Drosophila melanogaster: one gene and its partners. The protein of the gene in region 3 interacts with the protein of the main gene of each other region in a pairwise test. Each region holds a gene or a part of one and is shown on either strand. Other genes may lie near its edges.

Region 1 (10,166 bases), on a different chromosome or scaffold from region 3:
ACGATTTGTTTTGTTTTCAATTTGTTAAGTTTCATTTTTTCCCCTTTTTTGTTCTGTTGACTGATGGCGTACGTGTTATATATTGAGAGCCCATTAAGATGGGGCACGGTAATGGGCACATAAAAAATGGCAATTGGTGAAAATTTGCTTATATCCGATGCTGATAAGCCATCGCAGATGTTCCGAGGTTTTTTGCCTTTAAGCGGTAATCAAAGCACACTTGACTCGAAAATTCTATATAACAAAACTGAAATAGCACATTGGCTGCGAAAAAAATGTAAGCTTCCGCTAAATGTCTAAAATAAAAGAGAAAACTTCAATTGAAATTCAAGCAGCGATGAAATACAAGTTTTTAAGCATTTAATCTAGATCTGGCATATCAGCAACTTATTTTATAGCTGCGGAAGTAGCTCATCCGAAAATGCACTTCGATTTATCAGTATATATGTATGCGTATGCTGAATCTACTAGACCACGAATGAAACAACGTTTTTTAAACTAATTAAATTGAAATAATCCCTTTGCAAAAAGCCCATTCCCCCAGATCACGTCACTTTGCGACTGCCAGCTTTAAATTCCAGCAATGTCTGATTTAATTAATGGCTTCCCACTCGGGGGCGCTATGACCGGACAATTCTAATTTATTATTTTGCCAGTCAGGACACAATTACTTTGCTTTCCCATATTTCACATTGGGGCTCCATGCCAGCGGAAAAAATAAGCAAAAAGCCCAAGCAAATGGGCGCAATGTCGGGCCAAGGTCATCGCAGGACTATTGTGTTGGTCCTGACTGAAAAGTGGGCGTTGCCCAGGTGTCAAGAGTCAAGTGTCAGAAGGACTCCACTGGTTCATATATTTCCATTCAACTGAAATGTGTACTCGATTTTCCTTTTTGTCCGAACAAAGACGTATTCTTTTTAATCCATGTAAATCAGACAAGATCCTTGACGACGCTAAGTACTTTGTGTGTCATGATTTAAGGGAAGTTTCGTATATGATTTATACTTGTTTGTTTCTCCCAGGCATATTTTTGATAAAACTGGGCTGAGCACATGTAGTTGAATCACAAAATGTCGTCGTTTTCGATAAACGCACTAATTAATCATCCGAAAATTTACATAATTAACTATTCTTTGTTAAGCTATAAAATTTCAGTAACTATGATTTAAGAAATGTAACATAAGAAAATAATATGTTGAATAAAAGAGAAACTCTATAAATAAATAACTACAACGCTTGTCAGTTTAGAATGCGAATGATCATTACAATTAACTAGGAGGTTTCTATCAATCCGATTCGGAGTGAAGTGTATTAGTATTTTTGTACCCGTATCAGCACGTGTTGCATTCAACCGCCTTATTCTTATTTAACTTGTTATCAGTATTAAACCCGTTATTATCTATAACTAATAGTGAAGTACACATAGCCTATACTATAATGTTTCTAATCAGGAAACCTTAAGATAAAGCTAAGTGGTATTTTTAATCTAAGCCAAATTCGCTAGTCTAAAGACGTGACATTAACTTTAAAACCAGGAATGACCTTTTCAGACTCGTCTACACACAATATAATTTTAAATATTACACACTTTTTGGCGAATTTACCCTAATAATTAGCCATTTTATGATTATGATAATAATGAAAATAAAATTAAAATAAAATAAAATAGTTTATAATAATAAAAATAATGTTATATATAAAGGTCGAACAGTTTCAGACCATAATGTAAGCAAACTATACATACAAAGTGTGCCTACGTTGTTTTCGGTGTACTATCTCGATCATTTCTACTCTTATATTTGACTTATACGATTACACTTTATTTTACACCAAGCTCACAGTCATAAAATTGTGATTATACGCATTTATGAGGGCCTCATAAAAGTGTGCTTGGATTTGTGATCTGCGATTTTGCGGTTATTAATTTAAAATGGCAAATATACTTCGAAGACAACACCCATAAAGATAAAGTGAATTTGATTTTACGTCAAAATGTCATGGAAAAGTTCGGTATTCTCTGCTTGGAGTACACTAAATTAATTAAAGAAATTGTTTGTGAAGACATGATTTCTGGGCCGATTTCTCTGATAAGAACACCGAAAAGCAACGGAAACTTTTCTGCAAGCGTCACTGTCTGACGTGAATGATGGGTGGGTGTAAATATTACCCCTAAATAACTATTTGCAGTCCATAAATTTACTGATTGGTCGGAATTTTCAATTTAATATTTTTGCATGGTTTGTGTCTTGGCTGACGCGTGTGGGGTGTGGTGAGTTTCGGTGCCTGGCATGTTGTGTTTTTAAGCGGTGCGCCCGCGCAGCTAAACAATTTCGAATTCATTCCCTTTCAAAACTTTGGATAGTGCAATTAAATTAAATCGATGAAGAATTTGATATATATATCTATAAACGAATAAGTTCTCTGATTAACTTTCTTATACTTACGCATAAAGCTTATATTAAAGCGTATAGAATGTAAACATAAAAGCTCATAAAAACTAATTTGTTTTTAATAATTAGTTACACATTTATATAAACATTTAGTTAATACGCATAATTACATTATTTAGTTTTTTATAATTTAATTAATATAAATGTGCGCTCTTCGCATGAATTTATCTCTCTGCCCCTCTCTCTTTATAAATCGCGCTCTTTCTGCGCCATCGTTTTTGGTGCCTTTGGCTTTTTGCTGCCAAATGCGGTCGCGCAGTTTTTGTCGTCGAGTCAAAGTGCGCGGATCACTCCTCGAGTGAGCTAACAATTCCTGCCGAATTGAATTAAATATTTGTTAAGTGCAAGTTAAGGTGTTAGCTGTTGTTGTTGCCGTTAAGTCGAGTTCGTAAGCAGGTGGCAAAGGTGCCAAAGTGAGCTAATAGCAAAACAAGGTAAACTTCTAATTGAAAGTGATCTTGAAAATGCATAAAGTACATAAACTTTAAATGGGCATATCAAAAAGAGAATATTTCAACATATGTGTATTATTAATGTTTTTAATTAAGTTTAGATCTAATCAAATCAGTTATCCTGCAATATTATGCTGTTAATGGTGTATTTATAAGCTTGTAATCGATTTATTTATATTTAGTTTTTGAGTTTAATATAAACTAATGAAATGTAATTGCTTATATAGCTAAATAGTGACAAATTTAATAATTTAAGTTAAGCAAGTATAATTCAAAGTAACTAAAGTTTCTCCCTGTGCACCGAAACTAATGCTGTAATACCGTTTTGCATTTTTTTCTAACCCCTTACTTCGCCATTTATCAAATCTACTTTGATCTGTTTTCCTCTTGTTATGATTTTTGGAATTTTGTGAGACCGCCCCCGCATGTCAATCGTAAAAATATAACAATTTATGTACAATTTTTACTTTTGACCGCCAGCACGATTCTGAGTAATTAAAAGCCGCGAATATAAAATGTTATTCTTGCCAAAAGATGTGTATTTGAAAATTCATACATTTGGGACATTTCATTGTGCTTTTCATTTTGAAACCAGCGTTGCGTGAAACGATGCGGTCGTGCGATCTGTTTAAGCTTTTAAGATTTCTATATGTTTTGGTATTGTGTTCATTGGCTAATTGTTATTTAGGTACGGCAATGCCATGATCCGATGATATGGTAATGGGTCTTACAGAGCTTGGGGCATTCAGTTCGCTTCATATCTGACACTTGTGATTGATGGGTTGACCGCAGCAATTTTCTGGTCTCTGATTTGGTAATTTAAGTGAAGAATGTCCATCAGAAGCCTGGCTTCACTGTGGCCCCGAACACGTGTGGGAGTTTGGGCTATTAACTTTGCAATTGCCTCTGTGTGTGTGTGGTTTCCCCCCACTTTTATCGCTCCTGCCCCTCCCACGTTCGGCGTTGCATACAAATTTAGGGCTTAAGTAAGTTTTATGGCTTTTTAAGTGACAAAGTTGCGGCAAACAATTGCAAACGTCTATATCGCCAAATGCCATCAGGCGACGAACGCAATTGGAGCTAGGCCAGATACAATAGTTCAAAAACAATGAATATGAAGTCCAGTTCCCTGATTTCAGGCAAAGTTAACAGCTAGTTCCTAAGCTTTAATAGTCTGCATTACATTGTTGTCCCTTAACTTTTTCAAAAAACACTAAAATAGTTAGAGATCATGTGACTGCCATATTGGTAATTACTTTGATGCCAATAAATGCTACTCAAAACGGCAATAGTACCGAAAACACTTGAAAAGTGGTCAAGATAATTTGTATACTCGCTTTTAGAGTCCATAAAAATACATCAAGAAAGCAAAGCCAAAGATATTAGCTCATCAGCTTCAGAAACGGGAGATTTATACCCGTGTTATCGGCATGTTTTTAAATTAATGACGAATGTCTGCGTATGCGGCGATTTTTCTTAACGACATTCTTCAATATTTGCATATAATTAAATTTTATTGGAACACATTTTTAGCCGCCCCTCGGTTCAATTCGGCGAGAGTTCAAGTTCATGAACCCCTTGTTCATACACGTTTCGAAAGTCACAAAAATGCCTCGAATGACGAAAATCAGAACGAAATGCGTTGAAATGCATTCGACTTTGTTGTGTGTGCGAAAATATGTGTGAATTATGTGGATTTTGTTCTCGCCGTTTGTGCTAATTTGTTGAGCAAACTTTTACTTTATTGTTCGGATATTATGCGAATTGGCACGGACCCACTTGTACACTGGCAATTAGCCACATTTGTTGGCGCGCTATTGAAAATTCCAGAATTGGTGAGGGGCATATTGGGTTTCCAATTATAAAACAAGCTTATCATCCATAAATTGCGGCCCGAAATAATCGCAAAGCAAACTTTAATCAGAGCCGATTAATTGCTTAGATTTTTCATTCGAGGACCCAACACCTTGTGGTTGTACATACACCATTTAACCATTCTCATTAGCTGCAACCAAAGTGATAATCAGCACCTGTGAATCCGCACTACGGAATGTCAGTTAGTAGCTGGCCAATTAAAGCATTTCATAGGAACTAATAAAGATTATAATTACATGCTCAAATTGTTGAATCCGTTTTCACAATGCATGATTAACGGTCGATGACAAATATTGAAACTCTCAGGTTTTTACCCCGTTTTCCTCAAACCTCCAGTCAATGGAAATTGTTGTGTGGGTAGATTTTCGCTCTATGGCAAGGCATTCCACTTATCCGTGGGCCCAACCTTAAGTCAACTCAATTACTATTTGATCATCCAGCGCACCCCCTGCACCTCAATTAAGGAATAGAACTCGCTTTTTCATATCAGAGCACTTGAGTCTATTGGCTGATATCGATATGGGGCTCATGCTCGTAGATGACGCAAATGAAACACGAAATTCATTAAGATTGCATTAGAAAAGTAAATACTCGAAGTGATGAACAACTTGAATGCTTTGCGAGCATAGAAAATGGGAATTAACATTGAGCGCTCACTGATTGATTACCAAATGAAATGATATATGCAATATAAATTATTTTATACATACATACTCGTATGTATTTTTAAAGCTCTCGATGTTCTTGATGTGTGGGGGCATGGCCAACAAGTCTTAGCCCATTTTTGGGCCTGTTCGTGACCGCGTTGCGCCAAATAAGAAGAGCAAAGCAAACGCTTTCCACTGATGCCACTCTAGAACACTCTAAAAAAAAACCAGGCCTAATCCCCCCGCGGCTACAAAAACTGCCGGTTAAAAACTCAATTGCGAGTTCTGTTCACTCCTGACGGCGTTGTGCTCAAATATTTACATCGTTTTTATGACCCGTTGCCAATTAAATATTATACACTTTGTTTGTTTTATATATATTCTCACATGCAGCTGCAATTGCTGATAAGCTGGCAGTCGTCGAGTTGAGAGGAGGATTGCCCAGTTACCCACTGGCTGCCTCCAGTTACCCACTTTTAATGACAAGTGCTAAAGTTGAGCATTTAATAAATAAACGTAGATTAAGAATTTTTGGGACACAAGCCTTGAGTTAAATGAAAACCCCTAGACTTTTCCAATTGAAGACCAGACAGAAGTGTCGGCCAATTAGGCATCGTGACGGAAATTGCAGCGGAAATGCAGATTGTCAAAACTGTCACCAAAGGCCAAAACAATATCGCACCTTAAATGAGTGATAAAAGTGGCTAAATACCTGCTGAAGTCGGACAATTGTCCACTTCCATTTTCAAACACATTTCCATTTGCATTTTGGATTGCCATTTGCATTAACTACCAGACATCGTTCACTGATATTTCCGTTGGTCTTTTTTTTCAGTCCGTCAGTTTTAGTTGAAAAGTGAAGCGAAGAAGATGGGAAAATTCGAATACTCACTGGGTCTCAATGAGGTGAGTGCAAATCATACAAAGACAAAGTTTAATCGAAATACCAGTCAGTTATTAAAAATATCATTAAATAATGCTACTTTACTTATTAATTTGTCTTCTAGCTCAAATCCAAGGAGCTGCGATTGTGGCAGGCCTTGATTGGAGAATTCCTTGGCAATTTGATCCTCAATTTCTTTGCCTGCGGCGCATGCACCCAAATTGAGGATGGCACCTTCAAGGCCTTGGCTTTTGGCCTGGCTATCTTCATGGCCATCACGGTGGGTGGCTCGTTAATCTACGACATTATTCATACCCATATTCAACTATATATCCTTGCAGATTGTGGGCCACTTGAGTGGTGGTCATGTGAATCCTGCCGTTACCGCTGGAATGTTGGTCGCAGGACGAATTAGCTTGATCAGAGCCTTTTTCTATGTGGTTTTCCAGTGCTTGGGTGCAATTGCCGGAACTGCAGCGGTTAAGGTAGGCATTACACACATAAATTATTACATACATCTGAGTGAAATTATTAAAACAAAATACTCATCAGATTCCACTATTTCTTATATCATCATCATCAATTATATAGAGGTCGTCATTATGACAAAAAAATCTAACCTATCTTTACTTCTATGGTATATCTACAAAACAGCATTGCCAAAGAAAAGTCATTTGGCTTGTAAGTGTCTCAATCAGAACTGCCAGATTTCAAAATCAAATCCAAAATGTAGTCAATTAAAAAAATGTATAAATAATAATAAATATAAATACTTACTCGTTGTAAGATGATTGTTTGCAATGCTTTTGAGCTTATCTCGCTTTCTTAAAATAACACACTGAGACACATATGTACATACATGTTATTAAGTTTATTATTGTGATTGCCTCACATCCGGTTGCGGTTAAAAATGCCTTGTGTTTTGACCATTACTTTCTTTCGTTGAGTGGATAAATGATACGGGTACGCCAATGTCAAGAAAGTACTTTGATTAAATACTCGTATTTTTCGGTTTTATTTTGTATTAAAAACTACACATTTTAAAAAACAAATGATTTAGTAGAAATCACCAGTTCAATGAATCAACTTAAAATCTAATAGTTTAAAGTATTTTTACATACTCAACAAAACTAAGAGCTATATTTATTTTTAAGATTAAGATATCTAATCTAATCTATCTATCTATCTATATATAAATATTTTTTTTATACCAACACATTAGATTCTCATCGATCAGGACTATTACAATGGCCTGGGTCACACCTCTCTGGCGCCCAATATCACCGAGCTGCAGGGCCTGGGAATCGAGTTCTTCCTGGGACTCCTGCTGGTGCTCGTCGTCTTTGGGGCCTGTGATCCCCACAAGCCCGATTCCCGCTACACGGCGCCCTTGGCCATCGGAATGGCGGTGACCCTGGGTCACTTGGGCACCATCCGCTACACCGGGGCCAGCATGAATCCCGCTCGCACCGTGGGCACCGCCTTTGCCACCGACATCTGGGCGTCGCATTGGGTATACTGGGTGGGACCTGTGCTGGGGGGCGTGGCTGCCGCCCTGCTCTACACCCAGGTCCTGGAGGCGAAGCCCGTGCCAAAGGTTAACGAGGCATCCGAGAAGTACCGAACGCACGCCGATGAACGCGAGGTGAGAGTCAGGTTGATAAGCGCCTGGAGCGAGGAGTCCTTCTACTGATCCGTGATTCCGCCCACCCATTACACACACACACACACACACACACCCATCACACACACAAACACTCACTCACACTTGCATTGTAAATACTCCCGAATTACTTGATTTCAGGGATGCAAACCGAACCACAACCCGAACCATTTGGCATATACATATCTCGCTTAACTATAACTATTAAATGTGTTATGTTTTATCGCTTTAGCAGCAGATATTCGTATACTAAAGATATTACGACCTGCACGCAAAACTAATCTAAACCGCTTTTGTGAACCGAATACGATTGGTTTAGAAACTCTTCAATCCTATCAACCGAACCCGTCCGCCATTTCGATCGGTTTGCATCCCTGTTTAATTAGCTAACTAAATTTTGTATTATTGCAATTTATTTACTTGCAGATGCGCAAACTGGAGGGAGCCCGTGACTACGCCTAGATATAAAGAAATCTTTGCGACTCGAATCTAGGGATACAGATGAAATCTGTGTGTTTAATCCATTCATTTCAGTGTCTAACATAAACATGTCGTGTTCTTCTACGTTCGTGTGTATTTATGTATTTATTCATGCAAAATTCATTTTTAACTAACTAATATTTAATGTGTAAGCTGCCCTAAAATGCAATCTACAACAAAATTACTTGTACTCTCATGCGCTCACAATAAAGTGGAAAACATTAACTGAAACAAACTGGTGTTTATCGATTTTGTATCTTAATATAAAATAAAATATTACTATAAAATTGCTATACCCATGAAAAAATTTAAGCAATTCAATAAAATTCGAAATAAAATATAGCTAGCTAAAATTTTCATTGGTTTTTGCATCTTTAAAAAGAGCGCAATGAAAAGCTTATGCTGCAAGCTTTTCCGGCCGAGTTTCCCAACACTCGGTATGCGGAAAAGCTCCGTGGCAGCATACGGCAAAAGCGCCATGCGCCAAAACTGTCAAAAAGCGTTAAGGGAAAATCGGAAAATCCGCAGTCGTCCCCGTCGTTGGCCATGTAGTTGCGTGTGACCTGCTAAATAAATTACAAAATTAACAAATAAAAAACGTCTATCGACACTAATTGGCCACAACTTACTGTTCAACAATTGATAAATTATTCGAATTAGTGAATTAAACAATTGGCAAGTGTGCACAGTTAAGTGAAAGGCCAGATGAAAATCAAGGCAAAGCGATGCACTAAAGTGTTGTGGGCCAAATCAATAGAAAAGCAGTGAAGGAGAAAAGTCACCAATCGACGGAAAAGCGACCGAGACCACGGCGAGGGTCGAATGCAAATTGCAGTAGACCTCGTTAAGGCTAAGAACACAAGTTGGCCGAGTTAAGCTGGCCAATCGATTCCGAGAATCGGGACCATCTTATGAAACAACGGCCCAACCGCCGACCCGGAAAAGTGTGAAACGAAAGGAAAGGAAAAGTGAAAAGTGCTGGGAAAAGTGGAGAGGCTGCAGCGTCGTGTAAACACAGAGTCGCACAAAATCAATACTCGCGTGTGTCTGGGCCAACGAAAACCAGGCAGTCAAACATGAACGAGGACTCCAATTCGGTTGGCCAGTAGTAACTGGGACTAAAGGCAAGTAGTTAAACGGTCTAAAAATATGCCATTCGAAGCCCTGCTCTGCACTTGACCCACTATGCAATTAGCTCGTTATAGCCATTAAAGCTTGATAAATGGCCAGGAAATGTGATCGGGAGCTATAATCATCGCTAAAACGTTGGCATTGCGCACACTTGTTGCACGGGAACCATAATTTGACCCACTTGCATGCATGCCACACACAAGTCGAAGACCAATATAATATGTATCTCTAATATCTTTGATGCAGTGGTGCATTTTTGCTTTAGCGGCTTCCATATTGGCAAGACTTTATTCTCGAAATTGGGTGGTGCGAAGCCAAAACCTTAACCTGAAAAGATCGATATACCGGGTATATATCAAAGGGGTATATTAGTTTGCAGTTCAAGTTAAAAACAGACTCTAAATATGTCTTTTAAAGATATGAATTTTAGCAATCGAATATACTGTATGTTTGCTGCAGCAATAAATTTAAATACATTAAGTAGATATCCTTCCGGCAGGCTTATATCTAAATGACCATCTTGCTATGTACAAATTTAAACAGCATTATTTGTAATAGGTATCCATTAGGCAGTTTACTTTTCAC
Region 2 (6,909 bases), about 22 Mb from region 3:
GGCAGGTCATGCAGCTGGCATTGGTGTGATTGAGGAGAAAATCCTAAAGACCAAAGTGGAACTTGCGGGAGATCAAACCGATTTGGATAGTGCCTGCACCACAGTGATTAAGAGATTAAGTGGTTCCGGTCAGGCAAATCCTCTGGCCGTGGCCACCGAGGAAGTGGAGAAGATGACACCGGAACAGAGGAGAGCGTCGGCAGCAAAAATCCAGGAGGAGGCGAAAAAACGTGAGGCAGCCGTGGATGCGGAAAAGAGCGAGAGATCCAGCAGTCCTGCCTTCGATTCCGATGAGGAATCATCCGTCAACCAGGCCCAGCAGTTGATCACCCAGCAGAAATTGAACAACATGAGGAAGCGGTCATCGATTGGTCTGGTCTTTGGGGCACAGGCCGCCCTGCTGGCCACTCGTGGCAAAGGTAACTTGCAGAAGAGCACCACTAACTCCAAGTCGATCGAGGCCATGCACCAGTACCACCACCACCAACAGCACCATCACAACCAGAGTCCGTTACAGCGGGCGCAGAGCAAGGAAGAGATGCGCTCCCTGCACCACCACCAGAACCAGCAACAACCGCACCACCAGCACCACCAAAACCAGCCGAACCCACCGCTGGACAGGCCCAAGCGCACATCCTGCTCCACACTGTCCCAGATAGCCGAGCATGATCGTTTGGTCGACCTGTCCGCTCCTCCAACATTACTCAACACCAGTGATCCCCTGTCCCCCGTGGACTTGGCACCCATCGAGGTCCCTAGCGATCAAGTGCATCAGGGTCTGGTGCAGACCATTTTGCCACCTCCCGACGCCTTTCAGTGCCCCACCCCGCTCTCCGATGACTACTCGGATCGTCCCTTTGGGAATAGTTCCGGTAACAGTGAACTGGCCCTGACCTATGACCTGATGACGAACTCGGAGCTACGCTATATGGACGAGAGCTCCGCCATGCTGGCCAGTGTGACGGCCAACTCGACGACCTCCCCGAATGACAGCGTCCAGGGGAAACCACCAGTCCTGCCTCCACCACCGCCCGCACGCCGAAATCCACCAAAATCGAACCTGAACCAGAGCCTCAGTCAAACTCCCAGCCAAAACCAGAGTCCCAGCCAAAGCCTGAGCCTCAACCTGAATCCGAATCACAACCAGAGTCAGAGTCAGAGTATCGAGGAGGCGGTGGCCATTGAAAAACGTCTTCTCGTCTCGTACACAGGAATCGAGGACTTTGCTAAGGTGAGGCGGGAGAGCTGCATTGAGGCCATCTGCCTGTTGGATGTGCCCGGAAAGCTAGCTGCGGACTGTCCCCATCGCCGGGCCTCCAGTCCTATGGAGACCAGCAGCAAGGATGCCATACTCTATTCCCCGATGCCACCAATGCCACTCTCACCCAAGGTAAAGACTTCAACGCCACAAACGGGAACGCCCCAGTCGGCGGCGGGTGTAACACCACCGGTGCCACTGGAAAGGATTGAGGAGCGAGAAACCTCGGACAGTAATACCAACAAGATGCCCTCCACCTCGGGCACCACCAGCAGTACGGGCGGTGTGGGTGGAGGCGGGGAACAAGACGGTGTTGGTGCCACCAAAAAGAACGCGGGGGATGACGATGCCAACAGGGAGGAGAAGAGTTTGGCGGCCAGCCGAAACTCCAGCAAAAGGGCATTCATTCATTCGATAGGAAAGCACTTCAAGAGCAAGAAGGCTCTACCCCTGATCCTTGGAGTGGGTGGACGGCAGAAGTCCAAGTCGGAGAATCGTGCTCGCAAAGCGTTTCGCACGATCTCGTTCATTTTGGGCTGCTTCGTGGCCTGCTGGACACCCTACCATGTGTTGGCCCTCGTCGAGGGATTCTGCCGGCATCCGCCCTGCATCAATGAACACCTCTACATGTTCTCGTACTTCCTCTGCTACGCCAACAGCCCGATGAATCCTTTTTGCTACGCTCTGGCCAATCAGCAGTTCAAGAAGACCTTTACGCGGATCCTCAAGGGGGATCTGCACATGACCTAAGATGGTTTGGGGATCTGAAGTGGTTAAGCTGCTGGTGGTTGAGTTAAATCCCTGATAGATTTCCATTTTGCACTGCACTTGCGCAAAGGACCAGACACTTCAGAGCCCCGAGAGTCTGGCGCCTTGCAAACTTTTCCATTCCCAAACCCCTTACACCTCCTTAGGCCCATAAGTTTTCTATACATACCCAACGAAAGTGCTCCGCTTAATGGAATATCTGCTGGATTTCGACCATCAGCAAAGTATTAGAATCAAACACTTATTAAATTCAAAATTTAATCGGTGGACAGGGAAGAGTTATCTGTAAGTAGCCAAAGGTGTGTGCTATAGTTAGAATCGTTGGGGGGGAAAACAAGCAATCCGATTTGGGATGCATACATAGGTCTAGAGTGGCACTAAGCGGGGCGAAATGTTTTAGACAATAAATATTTTAATGTTAATAACCAATCTATGATAACCATGCAAAGTATATGATATGATAGCTAATAAAATAAATTAAGCATAAGATATACACATTTACCGAGACTAGAAAACCCTACAAACCAAAACTCTAAAGCATATCCCAATATAGAATAATACTTCTTTTGTTGTTCCGCAGAATATATCAATGAAAAGCAGACATATGAAGGGGGTAGGCCATAAGAAGACCAAAGAAAAGCATGTTAACCCTTTGAGGGATATGCCAGTCGAAGCCCTTTTGACGGTGACACTTTGTCGAAAACTACGCAAAATCGGACCTAATTTTGATTTCAAACGTTCATAGAAACTTTCTTTTACAGTTATTTTGGTAGGTTATAGTACTTAGAATATTGCAAAAATATAAACTGTGTTCAAACTTTTTCGACGAATGGTTGCCGTCGTGGGGTTAAGCAGTTCGATGTCAATCCTGCAGCAGATATACGATTTTAAGAACACAAAACCCAGCATACATACCCGCGTAATTGTCTATGGATATATGCCAGACAAGTTGAAGAGTTTTGTTTGAATATTCATGAGTGTAGAGCATACGAAGATACATACATATAGCTACATAGATGTCAATTTTTGCGCAAGCCAGCAACTTATACTTATACGGATATATAGACGTCTCCTTAGCGCCTTTGCCAAGTTGCCTAACTGAGTTCACTCTCATTCTGAAAATCTTTGTTCTCGGTTGAAGTACTTTGTTATTTGTTAACCGTTTCGTTAGCCGATTCGATTCGTTTTCCAGTGAGTAATGTGCTAAACAAGTTTTTGCTTTTGTTGAACGTTTCCATTTAGCACGTAAGTGATAAGTGTAACAATAACTAAAATTATTACTAAATAAATAAATGAATGAATAATTGCATTTTTTATGATACGAAGGGTGACGCTTTTTTTAGGTAAGTAATGATTTTATTTTTAGAAGTGTAGCGACTACTTTCAATTGGTTTTAAATTATTGTTAATTGAATTCTTTAAATTAATTTGAGTTAAAAGCCAGAGCTATTTTTTCTTTAAGTATTTTTTTTTTTCAAAATGATTTTCGAAAACGAGAACATCCAAAGTTTATATAGTGTTGGTTAATGCCAACCCGAGCTAACTTTGAAATTAAATTCAAATTGAAATGGAAAACAAGGGACGATAAGTGCGAGTGTCAATCGCCACGCGTAGTCCACGATCCGCAGTCGAAGTGTTCGGTGGTGTTCCAGGTGCAGCAGCAGTTCCCGATCCCCATACCACCTCCTAGGCAAACCAACGTCAGCTATAGTTAACCCACTTACGCTGAGGTCCGATCAAAGTCCAGTGATTTGAATACCCCAACCTTTTGTGACCCGAACGCCTGCTCGACATGGAGATCATTCTACGACTGCTGGCCTTCATTCTGAATGCCTTTGGCATGTTGGTGAATAAGATTCTAGATTTTGTATTGCCCCGTCAGAAACCCAAATTTTCGGGCATTCGTAATCCCCTGCTGAAGAAGTCCGTCGTTGAATTGGTCACCCAATTGCGACGCGGCGAGGTGAGTCTCCAAGTCCAATCGCGTCATTCGTGTGGGACATTTGCAAGTCATATATGTCGGGGTTCGATTCCAGATCACCTCGGTGGAGTTGGTTAGCGCCTATATAGCACGTGTGCAGGAAGTGAATCCTTCTCTGAATGCCGTTGTCGAGGATCGATTCGAGGCTGCCCTCCAAGATGCAAAATTGGCAGATCAGTTCATCGAAAAGGCGAGCTCTGAGTTCGATCGTGTGGCCCTGTACACCAAGTATCCCATACTGGGTGTACCGTTTACTGTCAAGGAGTCATGTGGTCTTAAAGGTATGTTTCAGATACTCAAAATCACTAAAAATATAGCAGAAACTTATATTTTTCACTGGTTAATAGGATTATCCTTTGCCGTGGGCAGTCTTGCTCGCAAAAATATGAAAGCCCCCCAGGACGGCGATGTGGTTGAACTGGTCCGTGCTGCTGGTGGCATACCCCTTTTGGTGTCTGCCAATCCAGAGTTTTGCATGAGTTTCGAAACCAGCAATAATATCCAAGGACGTTGCTTGAATCCATATGATCTGCAACGAACTTCCGCCGGATCTTCTGGCGGCGAGGCATCATTGAATGGCTGTGGAGCCACAACTTTTGGTGTGGGCTCCGATATCAGTGGTTCCATTCGCCTGCCGGCTCTGTTCTGCGGCGTTTTTGGCCACAAGCCCACTGGCGGGCTTACGTCGGTCAAGGGTCACTTCCCCTACTCGTTGACGGACAAGAAATTCTCCGAGATGCTGCAGATCGGTCCCATCACAAGATTCGCCAGGGATTTGCCCTTGCTGTTGGAAATAATGGCGGGCGATAAAAAACACAAACTGAAAATGTCTGAACCAGTTGCCCTGAAGGACATGAAGGTGAGATTTCCCAAACTAGGAAATGTATAATAGTCAAAGCTTATTTTCGCTTAGGTATACTATGCCTTTGGATACTCCGGCTTTAACTGCCTCACCCATCCCGTGGTGGACTTCGACATAAAACTGGCCATCACCAAAGCTGTCACGTGCTTGGAAAGAGGAGGTGTGCAGTCCAAGAAGGTAAGTACAACTTTGTAGAGTTTCTCGACCTAATGCTATTTTGCCAATCAGTTGGATCTTAAATTCCTGAGAAACTCTCTCGAGATTGCCCTGGTTTCCCTGGTGGACTTGAAGGGTCTGCCCAGTATCGTAACACAGCGGGCGGATCGTGATCCATCGATGCGTTTGCTGATGGTGGAACTCTTCAACAGCATCATAGGTCACTCAATCTTCACCAAAGAGGCCATGGTACTGGAGGTGATGAAGCGATTCAACGGCCTTATGGCCACTGGAAACATGGAAGAATACCGAGTTGAGGCCCAGAAAATAAAGAGCCATCTGAATGTAAGCGAATTAAATCATTCTTGAAGTTATACTGACCATTTAAAACCCATCACAGCAATTGCTTGGTACCCAAGGAGTCCTCATCATGCCCACCTTCCACACTAGCGCCCTATGTTTTCACACCTCGCTGTTAAACGTGACGGGGATCGACAATCTGCTGCTGTTCAACATCCTTGGTCTGCCCGCCACCCATGTGCCCATGGGCACAAATCAACGGGGAATGCCCATAGGGTTGCAGGTGGTGGCCGCCCAATATCAGGACAAACTCTGCCTGAAGGTCGCCGCCGAACTGGAGGCCGTTTTTCACGGCTGGGTGCCACCGGTACCACATGACACATGAAACACCAAGCGAGGATCGGGGGTACCTGCTCAGTTTTCCATTTAAGGTTAAAGGTTAAATTTTGTTTAAAGTGCTAATATAGTTGTGAAGATTAAAGTGAACTTCGTTTAATAAATGACCACCAATATTTGTTTATATTGGAGTGTTTTTTTTTTTTTTTATTTCCATAACATTTTTCGATAGATCAATATAACTTTTTAGTTTTGTGTACAGTCCCTCTAAAGCTGACCTGCAACAACGTTATATTGACGTTAGCTTGACTCAAAATCGATATCTAAGACAAATGGGCACTCTGCGAAGCGATAGAATATCCTACGTCTATCGGCACTTCAGCTGAAATCTTCGCATTTTAATCAACTTAATCAACCTTGCAATTACAACCATTGAAATGGGTAATATTTTTAGGCTTCGAAGACAACATAGAGTGAGTACAAAAATAATGCATTATGTGCTGAGCCCCGTCAATTACATTTCCATCGCAGACTGACAATCCTATGGAAAACCAAATTGAAATTTCCGTAAGTGCTTAAAATTTTAATTTGCCATTGCTTTAATGTTTGATTGCCCTCAAGGACGAGCCAGGAATCTATAGCTTAAGAAGGACAAGTCCCGATGAAAATGGGAACATTTTTGTGAATCATGAGATAAACCATGCTGCTTGGAGTAACCCAGCCCCAATTCGAAATGGGAGCTATCACAGGACCACTAGACCTGGTTTTGGTGGTCATCATTCATCGGTGCAACCAATCTATGAGGATTCGGACCAAGATGAGGGTGTCGAGGACTTGAATTCCGTATCTGACAGGGAGAACTTTGAAGTCGAATAATGCTAATAATATGAAATGTTAAATCAAAATATAAAATACTCTATTCGTAGAATTAAAAATTTATTTTCTTTAGTATTAAAAATACTCCTTTTTGAAGTACTCACCGCATTGCCGAAAGATCTAAGGCACCAGGGGATTCTAACCGCCATTATTCCAGACTTTGTAAAAGAGTGAGATCCCGAATCAATCAGTGTTTCGGTACCGCGAGTGTAGAGAATTAGTTATAGCCTCTCTTAGTCAATCACTCCACTCTCGCTGCGAAATTGTTTACGTTTCGTAAAAAACTCTCCACCTCTTCCTTCCACCTTATCAGCACCTTCCCTACCCTATATAGTAAAATTGTTGTTTTATTTATGAGTCGAACTAATGTCCC
Region 3 (4,923 bases):
CCACCATTGTGGAGTGATTCGTTGCTTCAGTTTGCGTTCTGTTTGACGCTCGCTAGGCCATGAAAAGATCTAGCGAATAACACAAGAACGGTGGTAGAAACCAAGGTATTTAAAAGATTCTACGAGAGTGTGGCGAGCCGAAAAGTAATGCAGTAGCCCTGGAAAGCCGGCTCAACATTGTGGAGTGATAGCCGCATTAATTTACGTTCTGTTTGACAATCACTGGCTTTGGATGTAACTTCCAGCAAATAACACAAAAACGATAGAAAGTTCTATGTACATTTAAACATATAATCTTTCTATCCATCTGTTATCCCCCTTATTTGACTTTTCATTCTACTGTTTAAATGGTTTCAAGTATCGATTTGAGTGTGTAATGATGTGGCGAGCCGGAAAGTAATGCAGTAACCGTGAAAACTCGGCTCAACATTGTGGAGTGATAAGCTGCCATTAATGTACGTTCTGTTTGACAATCACTGGCTTTGGAAGGACAGCCAGCGAAAAACACAAGAACGATGTATCAAAAGACCAACTGTGGCCAATATTTGGAGATGCAGGACCGCAATGGCTTCTAATGCCTGCAATAACGAGTAATTGGCCCTGACTGTTCTGCGTCCCCTGGCGAAGATTGAGCTCCATGGCACGGAAGGCCCAAATATCGAGGGTACGCGCCTGCTAACACACACGATGCACTCTTCTTTGAGGTGGAGGATGCTTATGCTTACTTTGTGTTCAATGGTGGTCTGCTGGTTCTTGTCCAGGTGCACCTTGACCAGCTGGGAGCCGTCCAGCTTGACGCGGATGCGCTTGCCCACAATCTCGGCGGGGAAGACCAGATCCTCAAGGATGGCGTCGTACACAGCGGTCAGAGTCCTGGAGCGTGGACGCTTCTGCTTGAGGGGGTTGCGGGCCTTGCGCGTGGGCTTGGGCAGGATCTTGCGCTCCGCAATCACGACGACGTGCTTGCCCGAGAACTTCTTCTCCAGCTCGCGGACCAGGATGATCTGGATCTTCTGGAACACCTTCTGCTGTGGAATGGGCACGTAGATGATGACGGCCTGCGTGCAGAGTGGGTTACGGATTACTATTGAAGGCTCCACATGTACGCCATATACTGTTTACCTTCTTGCTGCCGAACTCGATCTCGCGGGCACGGGTGATGTGCAGATCGCGCAGGTAGGGCTTCAGGTCGCTGTTGGCCTCGAGTTCCACCAACGCCTGGGCAATGGACTTCTCGAAGTCATCGGGATCCGAGCCGCCGGGCTTGATAATCTTGGAGCCGATAGCCATCTGCAATGTTCATCACCGGTATTTTAGCTTTCGGTTCAATTACAAACACAAAATTCGCTGCGGCAGACGCTTCCCCACAACGCAGTACAATCACAAATCGCCGGCAATCGGCGTTATTTCGCCAGCATTTCTCTGGATTCACAAGAAAATCGTAATTTGCCATTATCATTGCGGCCTTTTCTCTTATTATTTCGCTGCACTGCGTTGTGGCGACCGCGTATTTTGGCCATTTTCGGCGACGGAAGAAAAAAAGTACCACCTTTGTCGACTATTTTGACAGGAAAGGAAGTCGAGCCACGACGTAGAGGTGGAAAACAGAGCGAGTTGTTATCGATGAGACACGCGCGAACGTTGTGCGATACTATCGATACAGTTGCAGGAGCAATTACTCGTCGAAAATACGAGGGATGGCTAAATATATAAAATTTAACATTATAACATAACATCCATTCAAGAAAATTTGATTATATTTCTTTGAAGTGTTTCAGCGTTTTAATGTTTTGCGTGTAAAAATCGATAGTTCTCAGCAAAGATTGTGTATAACGAATTTATGAGTTAGCATCGATAAGTTTGTATGCCACTATGGGTTTATGTTTGGAAAAACTTTATTATAAAATTTTTTTTTAATAAGTTAAGTTGTTAGCCTATAAAATTAAAAAAATTGTTGTATGAACAATATAAAATGTTTCTTTGAAAATATATATCGATAGGTTCGTTTAGGGTTATCTACCATGCTTCAGCGGCGAGTATCACCACTTATGTTGCGATTAAAGCCCCACAGGGGGCGCAATTGTTACCACATGTAACGTTTTTTAAAAAAAAGTAATTACACAGATTTTGGATTTTGGAATGGATTTCCATAAATTAGGAATTTAATGAGATTATTAACAACATAATAAAAAATATTAGTTATTGCCTTAAATATATGTGTAGATAATATTTACGCAGACATATTTAATCTTTTCAACGGACATTTTTAAGTTGATAATATTGATAATATAATATATGTAAATTCCAGTGCCATTTGCCGTATGAGTTTTAACCTACAGAATTGTAGAACTTAATTACTATAGAACACTATTGAATGAAAACTTAGTAACTTGTTGAGGTTTTTAGTAATTCCAAGAAATATGCTCTTGAATAAAAAACCTTTTTAAGTCTCTTTCAATGCAAAAACACGAGTTCTTTTTTTTTACATATTGTAATTAATATGTTTAAGGTCTAATTATTATTGTAAACGTTTTTCGGTGGGTTGATTGCCTATAAAGCCACTTGTTTTTCAGTCTAAATCATCAGTGTAAAATTCGGAAAACCCAGCGATCTAGTTATGAAATACTTTGTGGTCCTTGTCGTCCTGGCCCTCATTTTGGCCATCAGCGTGGGTCCTTCGGATGCAGTATTTATTGATATTCTTGACAAAGTGGTTTGTTTCTTCTTTAAACAATTGTAGTTTACAATGAAGCTTAAACATTTGTATTTCTACAGGAAAACGCAATACACAATGCTGCTCAAGTGGGAATTGGCTTTGCTAAGCCCTTTGAAAAATTGATCAATCCGAAGTAATTCTGCACTGCAATTTAATTAATGTATCGTTTAACGAAAATAAACACAAATTTTAAAATCTGAAAAACAACTAAGTTACTAACGCAAGACTTTTAGTTAAGTTAGTTAATATAGACCGAGATGTATGTACATACATACCGCTTTCGCTTACAATAAAATGTTAAATAAGTTTTCAGATTCGTACGTGCTCAGTAAACAATTATTTTTTATTGTCATTTAATGCCTATTGAATTTTTCAAACTTAATTTAGTGCCTTTAGTAAAATATTGTAGTGATTCCCCTCGAAAAATACCACAAATTGGATGCGTTTATGTAAATAAATTGCCCTTGAGTGATAGAGTAAATTTGAATTTGACTGTCTTAGAAAGATAGAAAGAGATCAATTCAAAATGCCAAAAGGATAGAGTTATTAAAGCTCTAATTCAAATTGGCCCAGAACCGTTTAAAGGATATTACAATTTGTAATTTACATATTTGGATTATAGCATTGAAATCCCCGATTGTTCCCTAGATGTGCAGATGTGTGCTTGGAATCAGATCGGTTACCTTCAGTGTACTTTTCTCTGCAAAAATCCCCGTGCATGCCTTATCTGTCATTTTGTTTTTCAAGCTGGCTGTTCGCCTATAAAAGCTCTCGCCTTTTGTATCGCAGTCATCAGTCGCTCAGACCTCACTGCAATATCAATATCTTTAGCTTCTCCTAAGAAAAAATCAAGAAAATATCACCATGAACTTCTACAACATCTTCGTTTTCGTCGCTCTCATTCTGGCCATCACCATTGGACAATCGGAAGCTGGGTGGCTGAAGAAAATTGGCAAGAAAATCGTAAGTTCTTCCATTTGAAATCTGTTAAGACGGAAACTAACTGACTAACTTCTTTTCGAAGGAACGCGTTGGTCAGCACACTCGGGATGCCACAATCCAGGGACTGGGAATCGCTCAACAAGCCGCCAATGTCGCCGCAACTGCCCGAGGTTGACCACGATGATTATTTATAATTATTTATTTAAAGATCTATTTATTCTGTTGCTCCCTGTAAATAAAACAATTTTAAAAATTTAAAGAATTCTATTCAAACTTTGTTTTTTAAAGAGTTGGAGAAAAGCGAACTCTTGAATTTATACACACATTTTAAATACACTTAAGAGGCATTATTTATACAGGATATTACAAATCGCTTCTTTTCCGATTTGGAAAGGCCGAGATTATGTCTTATCTGTTGAAATATAATTCGTTTCACCTATAAAAGGACCAGTCTTTTAGTTTAAATTATCAGTCGCTTGTCAAATACTGAAACAATTAGATTAATTTGTGGATTTTATTTGTCCTCATCCTGACCACTTATTGGCCACAATTGGAAGCTGGCTTCGACGGGACATTAGTAAGCTTAGTCATTTTAAAAGATTTCTTTGCATCTAACTATGATTCTAAATCCTCAGAAGGACGTTGGTCTATACACCCTAAATGCTACCCTGCAAGTTGCTGAAGTCGCTTCGAAAGCAGCCAATGTGGCAATCACTGCCAGGGGATAAACTTAAGTTAGGGTATTATTTATAAGAAATTAAATTAATAGATTTTATTTTATATATTTTTTGTATATTGTTATTCAAACTGATAATGTAATATACGCTTTTCAAACGATCATTCCAAATCAGTTGTGGGCTTATCGCAAATGATTTCGTAGTGTTTTTATTTTGATTGATTCAAAGAAGGGGTTTCCTCTCTGATTCTTAGTCTCCCGCATTGACGAGGTAAAAAATCCCTATGCATATGAAATATGCAAATTTAAAAATCCCCCAATCCGACAGGTTGGTTTTGATCGGTTTGGATTCCTCTCGTGTACTTTTCAGCCATAAAAATCCCCTTTCGAGCCTTATCAGGCGCTGAACTTAAGCTGATTCGCCTATAAAAGCTCTCGGCGTTCCTGGTGCAATCAACAGTCGATCACTTTCCATTGCAACAGCAACATCAGAGCTATAGCTACTCTTGCAAAATCTAAAGTCAAATAAAACCACCATGAACTTCTACAACATCTTCGTTTTCGTCGCTCTCATTCTGGCCATCACCAT

Evidence for each region.
Region 1: the proteins of Anp (region 3) and Prip interact in a two-hybrid assay, tested with the Drosophila melanogaster proteins (one large-scale study listed by BioGRID).
Region 2: the proteins of Anp (region 3) and CG7910 interact in a two-hybrid assay, tested with the Drosophila melanogaster proteins (one large-scale study listed by BioGRID).

What each region holds. Positions count from the first base shown.
Region 1 is NT_033778.4:11,433,539-11,443,704, forward strand, and holds Prip (prip), read left to right. Parts: upstream 1-2,704; 5' UTR 2,705-2,884; intron 2,885-6,259; 5' UTR 6,260-6,294; coding exon 6,295-6,330; intron 6,331-6,431; coding exon 6,432-6,587; intron 6,588-6,648; coding exon 6,649-6,792; intron 6,793-7,529; coding exon 7,530-7,952; coding exon of another isoform or gene 7,953-8,000; exon of another isoform or gene 8,001-8,082; intron 8,083-8,111; coding exon 8,112-8,165; 3' UTR 8,166-8,202; coding exon of another isoform or gene 8,203-8,223; 3' UTR 8,224-8,334; intron 8,335-8,396; coding exon of another isoform or gene 8,397-8,432; 3' UTR 8,433-8,678; downstream 8,679-10,166.
Region 2 is NT_033777.3:8,083,725-8,090,633, forward strand, and holds CG7910 (uncharacterized protein), read left to right. Parts: upstream 1-3,527; 5' UTR 3,528-3,817; coding exon 3,818-3,988; intron 3,989-4,061; coding exon 4,062-4,287; intron 4,288-4,353; coding exon 4,354-4,865; intron 4,866-4,919; coding exon 4,920-5,045; intron 5,046-5,096; coding exon 5,097-5,369; intron 5,370-5,424; coding exon 5,425-5,709; 3' UTR 5,710-5,802; downstream 5,803-6,909. Other genes in the region: mAChR-B (muscarinic acetylcholine Receptor, B-type), read left to right, coding at 1-2,008.
Region 3 is NT_033777.3:30,207,368-30,212,290, forward strand, and holds Anp (andropin), read left to right. Parts: upstream 1-2,580; 5' UTR 2,581-2,617; coding exon 2,618-2,713; intron 2,714-2,775; coding exon 2,776-2,853; 3' UTR 2,854-3,015; downstream 3,016-4,923. Other genes in the region: RpS7 (ribosomal protein S7), read right to left, coding at 726-1,058, 1,123-1,290; CecA1 (cecropin A1), read left to right, coding at 3,581-3,679, 3,741-3,833; CecA2 (cecropin A2), read left to right, coding at 4,871-4,923. UniProt on the Drosophila melanogaster protein: Male-specific peptide with moderate activity against Gram-positive bacteria.